Linked DNA regions of Daphnia pulex. The protein of the gene in region 1 purifies or fractionates together with the protein of each later gene. This does not show direct contact. Links are inferred from orthologs where the notes say so. Each region holds a gene or a part of one and is shown in the gene's direction. Other genes may lie near its edges. The genes, in order: toll-interacting protein B-like and cleavage stimulation factor subunit 1-like.

Region 1 (4,232 bases):
TCGAGTACTGTGATAAAAAGAAGTCTTGAACAAAAGACTACTACTTCAGGCAACACCCACCTAGGATGTTGCGACGTAGAAGGCATTTCCGCTTCCAGTGTCAGTCAGTTTAATGTCGCGGTTGGCGGTACCACGCCAACACCTGTCGACGGTCCAATCGTAAGTTAACTTTATAATTCCTCTCCTAACTTGACATTGCGTTTAATTGTTATGCAACTATATCTTAATGTGTTTATTTTTTAAGGTGGGTGTCTTTGTGATGATTCCAAATTCCATAAAACTGCCGGGTGAAAATTGGTACTCGATGCGAGGTGCAGAACAGATCTTGTTTTGTTGCGAAGCTATAGTCAAAGAAGAAGTTGTGGTTATCCGGAAAGGTGTCAAAATTGACGTTAAGGCAAAATCGATTAGTTTTTTTGTTTATCAAGATGCGCTACCGCTCGACAAAGAACTTCCGTGTGGTTTGTATCGGAACTTTGAAACCGTCAACAGTCTCAACGAGACTCTAAAAATTTTTGACGCATTGCCGTTATGTACCGGAATTGACGATGTCCCGTGCCATTTCGTCAAGGATTGCTCGACGGATTTCGGAATCCTAAAAAATGGTTTTTGGCATTCCACCGCGTAAGTGTATCTATTATTCTAAAGACTATTTTATTATGTCCTCCAACTTCCTGGCACCGTTAAATTAATTATAATATTTTTTAAAACTTGATTCAGGTGTTCCGTATTTCCTGATTCTCGACAAGTTCAAGGATTATGCGGATCGTGTTTTTCCTTTAAACAAACTCTTCTTCTTCGTTACTTCCAACAAGGAGAAAATCCTTCAACGTCATTGGCGAAAAAGAAATATGTTGTTAACAAGTATTTGAGCAACGAGGAATTGGTGAAGTCGAAGCAGGAAACCCAAAAGGAAATTAGGATTTTGAAACAGAAATTGAGAAGAACGGAATCTCGATTAATGGTTCGACTCAATCAATAATCACTGGCATCACTTATTGGGGCATTAATGTAATAAATCAATTTTTTCAGGAAAAAGAAACTGAAGTTAGATCGATGCGAGAGAAAATCGTGCAAGTGCAAGGAGAAACAACTAACGCAGCAACGAATAAACGGGTAAAAACTAAAGACTAGATCTTCCTACTGAGATATGAAAATTCATGTTTGTGTACTTTGTCCTTGTGACTGGTCAATAACTAGTCAATGCATAAACTTTGATATCTGTTTGCTCGATCGTTAAGTCCGGCTTATCACTAAGAAGCTGAATAATTTTTTGTTGGATCTGAAAGAAATACAGACAATTTTTTCTTGTTTTTCCGGGGTTCATTTTTGATTTGAAAGATAGCATTAATGAAATGTGTTTGAATTGAGATAGGAGAAATCAGATCATTACGCCATCTGGCAATGACAATTTTTACTTACATGTACAGGCAGACAGTACTGACAAGTTGACGACTGCTGTGTACTGCTGTATCCGTGGAAGACAGTCTCTTGACACAAAAGTTTGGAAACGTAATTATTTTCTTGAAAATGGCAAGTGCTGGTTCTGGTGTTCCATCAGATTCTAATGCTGGACAAAGTAGATATCGTCAACGCACGGTAACCACAACTCATTTCTTTATTTAGGCCGTATAAAAGTATAGCACTGCATAGTCATTCACCTTGCGCAACTACGTTGATTAGTATACTTTCGTGTGAAATGACTCATCTCTATTGATTTCTTACCACAACCCACACAATTTCTTTTTCCAAGTACTGAATTATTTAACAATCAATCAGGGTTCAATGTAACATTTCATATCATTTTACACCTGTATTGGATGAATTGATCGAAAAGAAACTAATGCAAATTCTCAAAACACAATACTTTGACTGGCATTGTAGAGCTTCTTACAAGTTACAACAAAGCCTTAGTTTATTTCCTCATTGTTTACGATACCATATATTTTTTCCTCTTTACCAAAGGCTGTGCTGGGAAATCTACCTGATGATTTTCTAAGACCTGACAGTCTCCAGGGTAGTAATCCATCTCACCAAGAACGTATTGATAGAGAACTGGCTATCCAACTTCACCAGCAGCAGCGTGTTGCAAATATTCAGTATGTCAACCAAAGCTATGCCGGTCAACTAATCATCACCATTGTTGAGGTAAAATCAAATCATCTAAAGCCAAAATGAAGTCAACATTAAATTTCACGACATTTGATCATTTCAGGCTTCATTTGTTAAGAACTACGGAGTAACTCGAATGGATCCTTATGTCCGTGTTCGCATTGGCCACACAATCTACGAAACCCCTGCTTGTCCAAGCGGTGGCAGAACCCCTCGCTGGAATAAGCGCATCCAAAGGTATATAAACAATCTATAAAAACTTTATGCTGAGTCATTTTCATTACTAAAATGACGTATTTAATTTGCCAATAGTTATCTACCGACTGGAGTGAAAAGCATTAGTATTGAAGTCTACGACGAGTGCGCATTAACAATGGATGAACTGATTGCCTACGGCCAGATTCCTATTCCGGAAATTGTTTTTCGCGGAGAATCCGCCGACCAGTGGCTGCAATTAAGCGGCAAACAAGGCGAACATAAAGAAGGGTCTATTCACATGATTTTTACACTCCTGGTAAAAATTTCTTTTCATTTGCCCTTCAGTTATTTTTTGGGGTTTTGTGACGCGCGGCTTCTTTTCCTTTAGCCGATTGCCGCCCCACAGCTGATTGCACCGGGGACTATGGGATTCGCCATGGCTCCAGCGTACGGCGGTTATCCACTAGTGAATTCCACAGTTGTTCCGGTTGGGCAAACACCAATAGCAACTCCTATGATGGTCATGCCCGGCTATGCTCCTTCCTGTGTCCAAATGCCCATTTACAACACAGCCAATCCAGCTTTGGTGACTCCCCAAGGAAATCTTCCCGTCGCTTCCCGCCCGAAACCACTTACTCAAGAGGTAATTTACAATTTTTATTTTTTAATACTGAGATTGTACTGAAATTTCTTCATTAAACTGCGAATTGCAGGAAATTAAAGAAATTATGAGCATGTTCCCGACGCTTGACCCTCAAGTAGTTCAGAGCGTCATTGACGCATGTGATGGGCGTCGTGAAGCAATCGTCGATAGTCTTCTTCAGATTTCTGAACAGTAATTAATTTTTTTAGACTGCCGGGGACGAAGGTTAATTATTTTTGTTCAACATCGCTTATTCGTTACATTACTTTTAACATGGAATGAGTTCCTTATTACTATTCATAATATTTTTTTAAATTAACAAATAGCTGTTTGCAAAGGAAATTTCTATTTTCAACTTTTCACAGTGGCTAGTCATTTATCTGATTGAAAAGGCTATTCCAGTTAATTTTTGTGTATTATCACATGGTATTTCTTCCATGTCTAGATTTCTAAATTCCCCTAATATATCCTCACTGTGGCGTAAGTTTATGAAAAATACATGTTGGCTAACTTTCCCTTACAACCCAGAATTAATAAAGTTTTTTGCGTAGCTTGAGATTCGATATTTTGCAGCTGTAAAAGAGAAATCCAACTAAATTTCTTTTTCCCCTTTAGAAAGCGCAAGATTGTAAATTTTCGCAATGTGATGTATTATCCATTCAATTAACATTTTCAAGTAGATTTTTATTCAGTTTTACGCAATGCTTGTATGATTCCGGTATCGATACTACACCATCTTAAGGCTAAGTACAGTAGGTAGGAATGGGCTTAATGTAGTTTAAATGATATTATCAAGAGAAATAGTAGAGAGAATTTGACACATTCTAGTAGACTTCGCAATTCGCTGAAGAATACTGCGTACATACGGCATCACGAGTGTTCTCACTGTATTTGGAATCGTTGACTCCTAGGTTGGATCCCTATAATACAAGTATTATTGCCTTATTAATTGAACATAACTTTGAACTGTGTTTGCTAGTAGATGATGAAATATTGCGAAAGAGATTCAATTGAATAGGAAATGTCAGATTGCTTACATCCACAAGGTTTTTGATGTTACAGTAATTGGTTCCATAATCCTAAAAACACAACAGACGTAAATATCAGTTATTCTTTCAATTGAATCGAATATTTCCAACTTACCAGCACTGCGTACCACGTCTGGGATGTTGAAAAGCCCTGGGAAAATTCAAAGCATTCTCATGAAACGGATGAGTAATTTAACAAAATAATTTATCTGTATTACCTGGACGGAACAGGAATTGTCTGCGGCGGGAGT
Region 2 (4,069 bases), on another chromosome or scaffold:
AGTGTTTTCTCCAGATTATCATAGGTCAAAGCTTCAACCGACTCGTTGGTTCCTCCTACTCATCACGTTCACAAACATTAGCATGTATGGACAGATATCAAATCGCAAAATAAAAATATTACTTTCCACGACATCATGGACAGAGCCTTGAGCCTTGATCCCATCGAATGTGACGCTAAACACGTGCCCTCGTCGATTACGCTTGTCTGAGAAGAAGAGTTTTTGTGAAGATGGATCGTAAGCCAGGGCGACCAGTACGGAAGCATTGTAGTTCTCCAATTTGAGTGGATTGCTTTGAGATCCATTGGTCAGGATTTCAATTTGATCGCCGACAGCAACAATTAAATCTGGAAATGGAAATAAGTGGTTAAGAGACCATTCCGGAACGAGTTATCCGACTCTTGTCTTGCGATCGATGGACTGGCAATCCGATATGCTCTTATAAAGTCTACGTGCTACAAGTTCTAGATGGGAGCGATACCAAAGTCACAGCTACAGAATGAGTCTACGTGACCGAATCGATGAAATGATAACGGATGTTTTAGGTTTCTTGCCGACATTTTGCGAAAAACAGAACACGTTATTAAACTCAAGAATCGGTTTAAATCCGACCGATATCAAAAAGGTAAACTAGTGGTTGTTTTGTTTTGTCTTGAATCCTAATGTTTCCACGTCGGAAATTCGTGGAACTAGTTAATATCTTCTACGCACGAAATTTTGCATTTTACTATTATTAACTTCCTGCAAATAGCAAGGTCGACTAATGACGTGCTCAAGGAGAAAATAGCAAAATATTGACAAACATGAATGCAGACAAAATAAGTTTCAAGGACCAACTACCGGCAGACGATATTTAGTCAATATCAGAAGTAACACGTTTCCTAAGGTATTCCCCGGATATCACGTGAGAATTGCATTTTTATTACAAGAGAAAGCTCGCTGGTTTGTTTTTATGATGTTGTCAATGGATTTTTATTTTCTTTTAAAGCCTGTGTGAGAGCAGAATTTTTTGTGTAGTCAGCTGTAGCAATAGTCATATTTCGATACCAGTGTCGTCTGCTACTACGGACTACGTGACTTGGCTCGGCATTTCCCATTTAATAATCGTATGGTAGGCAAAAATGTGTATATTTACCGTCGTAGGATTTGGTTGCGGCAGCAAGTGCGAAGAAAATCCACACTAATAAGGATCGTGAATTCATATCTCGATCCGTAGGCACAGAAGACAAATTTATAAAATACTCATTGATAAAAAGAAACGATCTTAGTTGAACAAATGATGAGTAATATTCTTTGTCTTCACCGGCCACCGAGACACCATGTACCGGGAAACCTGCCAAACCAACTAAATGTAGTCCGGCCGAAATTCTTGAGATCATGCGCGATGCAACCTTATTCCCTGATCTACTTTGTACTGCCGTGTCTCGTGGCTGGTGCAACACTAAACACTCTGGCGGCTAACAATGCAACTTCCGGCAATGCGCCATCTCGTTTGTTATCTTGAAATCGTATCCTACTTGTCGGCATTTTCTGTGTTTACACTGGTTCGAGAAAGACATAATCTTGTTCTTGTATTTTTCTCGTTCGATTTTGAATATTTAATTCACACAAAATGAAAGACTCCGAAATTTTGGAAGCGATGGAATCTAAAAATGCGATAAAGTTTAAAGAACAAATTTATCGACTCATTATCAGGTAGTGTAACATAGTTAAGTTTGTACTCGAGTCATCGTACGCGTGGTTATATTGTCTTGACGTGTTTTTCCCTTTATGTAGCCAATTATTTTATGATGGTTTCCAATCACTGGCTGTCAGTCTATCATCAGCAGTTCAAGCACATCCAACATGCCCCCCATCCGATCGACTCAATCATATTGTCTCGCTAGGACTTCAGCATGAACACAGTAACTCGATATTCAATGATAGGAAATACAATTTTATAACCATGTTTAATCTTTGGTAATATTTTTCAGCATTGAAGAAACCATTAAATAAAGTGGAGATGCTTTTGGGTCCAGGACTGGATTTGGAATATGAAACTGATGTTCAAACCTCAGCTCCAGAACCAGCACTTTATGAAACTGCATATGTAACATCCCACAAAGCGCAATGTAGATCTGGGGCTTTCAGCCCTGATGGTCAGTTAGTTGCCACTGGAAGTGTTGATGCATCCATCAAGGTGACATGAGCAACACCTTTCTACAATTTCATTACCTAATAACAAGTTCAATTGTAGATCCTTGATGTTGATCGAATGTTGGCTAAATCATCCCCAGATGGAGAAATGGCAACTGATCAGCAAGGCCATCCTGTTATCAGAACTTTATATGACCACGTAGAAGAAGTGACCTGTCTGGAATTCCATCCTCGTGACGCCATTCTCGCATCTGGATCTCGCGATTGCACTGTTAAATTATTTGACTTCAGTAAAGCAGCGGCAAAGAAAGCTTTCAAAACACTATCAGTAACAAAAAAGCTTTTCTCGTGGCCCTTACAGTTCCTATTGAATTTTTATATGATTTGTTTAATAGGATTCAGATCAAATTCGTTGCATGGCTTTCCATCCTACCGGAGACTATTTGGTTGTTGGTACAAATCAGCCCGTTGTACGTCTGTATGACACCAACACCGCTCAATGCTACGTCTGTTCATTTCCGTCTCAGTATCACACCAACGCTATTACCTCACTTAAGTATTTATTAATTGGAAGAAAGCATTTGTTAAACAAATTATAATGTGTTTATCGTAGGTATTCTTTTGATGGCAAACTTTATGTATCCGGTTCTCGAGATGGTTCCATAAAACTCTGGGACGGAGTGTCTAACAAGTGTGTCGGTACCATTAGCCAAGCCCACGACGGTGCGGAAGTTGGATCTGTTACATTTTCTCGCAGTGGCAAAGTATTTACACTGTCGTTTCTTACCCATATTTATAACTGGTTTTAACTGTATGTCAATGTTTTTTTTTCTCTAATTAATCAGTATGTTCTTTCATCTGGCACGGATTCATCTGTTAAACTTTGGGAGCTCTCTTCACTACGCTGCATTATAGCCTACACTGGAGCTGGCACAATGGGTAAGATAATTATTACAAGTATGAGGCTTATATTCAATAATCAAACGTAATTATGGTTTATGAAGGCAAACAAGAGCACCGTGCTCAAGCTCTATTTAACCATTCGGAAGATTTTGTCATGTTCCCCGACGAGGCAACAACATCCTTGTGTTGTTGGGATGCTCGGACAGCTCAACGCAAACAGTTGTTGTCGCTTGGTAAGGAGGAAAAAATTCAATGGATAAAATAATTCATTTAATATCTTGTTGATATTTTTTTAGGTCACAATGGTGCGGTCCGTTACATTATCCATGCGCCTAGTACGGCGGCTTTTCTCACCTGCTCAGACGATTACCGCGCCAGGTTTTGGTACCGTCGCAACCCACATTAGATTAAGCTGTCAAATTGTACATGAATAATTGAATAAATGAGAAAAGCTACACTTTCATCTGAATAAATAATTTTGTTTCTTGTTTGGATTGAAACCGTATAGTTTCTACAAATGACGTCATTAACGTCAGTGCATTTAGAGGCTATGTATAACGGGGTCATACTCTATTCTTTCGAGATTATCTAATTGGTTCCACCATACTTTAAGATGGCTGTTGAGAATAAGTTTGAACCACGGTGTAAAGGGGATGTTATTCTTTTCGAGGTAGCCTTGAAATTCTTGAAAGCCGGATAGGGAGACGAAAACAACGCGGCTCACTTCGTTCGGGTTGGGTTTTACGGGAACGTCTTTCCTCAAAAACAGGATATAATCCACTTCATGTTCACCCCATTTGGCATCAGAAGGTGCACCATAAATGATTCTGGTGAGAATTTTAAAATCAGACAGCTCAATACTATCTGGACTGATGCCCAGTTCAATTTCAAGCCTTCTTCTAGCAGCTCTTCTGATCCCTACATGGTGAGCTTCTTCAGCTTCATCAGGTGTTGTATTATGTAACGGATGACTGCAACAGGAATTTGTATAATAACCTATTACAAATAACACATTTACTAGACTATAGTT

What was found.
Region 2: the proteins of toll-interacting protein B-like (region 1) and cleavage stimulation factor subunit 1-like purify together in Homo sapiens (co-immunoprecipitation; 3 studies listed by BioGRID and IntAct, with this or other methods). This does not show direct contact. The link is inferred for Daphnia pulex from reciprocal best matches to the Homo sapiens genes TOLLIP and CSTF1.

What each region holds. Positions count from the first base shown.
Region 1 is NC_060026.1:14,642,014-14,646,245, reverse strand, and holds toll-interacting protein B-like, read left to right. Parts: upstream 1-1,421; 5' UTR 1,422-1,530; coding exon 1,531-1,599; intron 1,600-1,965; coding exon 1,966-2,148; intron 2,149-2,215; coding exon 2,216-2,349; intron 2,350-2,424; coding exon 2,425-2,626; intron 2,627-2,698; coding exon 2,699-2,953; intron 2,954-3,023; coding exon 3,024-3,149; 3' UTR 3,150-3,476; downstream 3,477-4,232. Other genes in the region: uncharacterized protein LOC124203962, read left to right, coding at 1-159, 245-624, 721-964, 1,033-1,134; uncharacterized protein LOC124203968, read right to left, coding at 3,778-3,873, 3,991-4,032, 4,097-4,132, 4,200-4,232. UniProt on the Homo sapiens protein: Component of the signaling pathway of IL-1 and Toll-like receptors. Inhibits cell activation by microbial products. Recruits IRAK1 to the IL-1 receptor complex. Inhibits IRAK1 phosphorylation and kinase activity.
Region 2 is NC_060027.1:1,883,259-1,887,327, forward strand, and holds cleavage stimulation factor subunit 1-like, read left to right. Parts: upstream 1-1,490; 5' UTR 1,491-1,612; coding exon 1,613-1,695; intron 1,696-1,776; coding exon 1,777-1,904; intron 1,905-1,973; coding exon 1,974-2,179; intron 2,180-2,236; coding exon 2,237-2,464; intron 2,465-2,531; coding exon 2,532-2,692; intron 2,693-2,749; coding exon 2,750-2,900; intron 2,901-2,981; coding exon 2,982-3,075; intron 3,076-3,140; coding exon 3,141-3,272; intron 3,273-3,335; coding exon 3,336-3,445; 3' UTR 3,446-3,512; downstream 3,513-4,069. Other genes in the region: protein cueball-like, read right to left, coding at 1-55, 123-347, 1,136-1,379; isopentenyl-diphosphate Delta-isomerase 1-like, read right to left, coding at 3,581-4,035. UniProt on the Homo sapiens protein: One of the multiple factors required for polyadenylation and 3'-end cleavage of mammalian pre-mRNAs. May be responsible for the interaction of CSTF with other factors to form a stable complex on the pre-mRNA.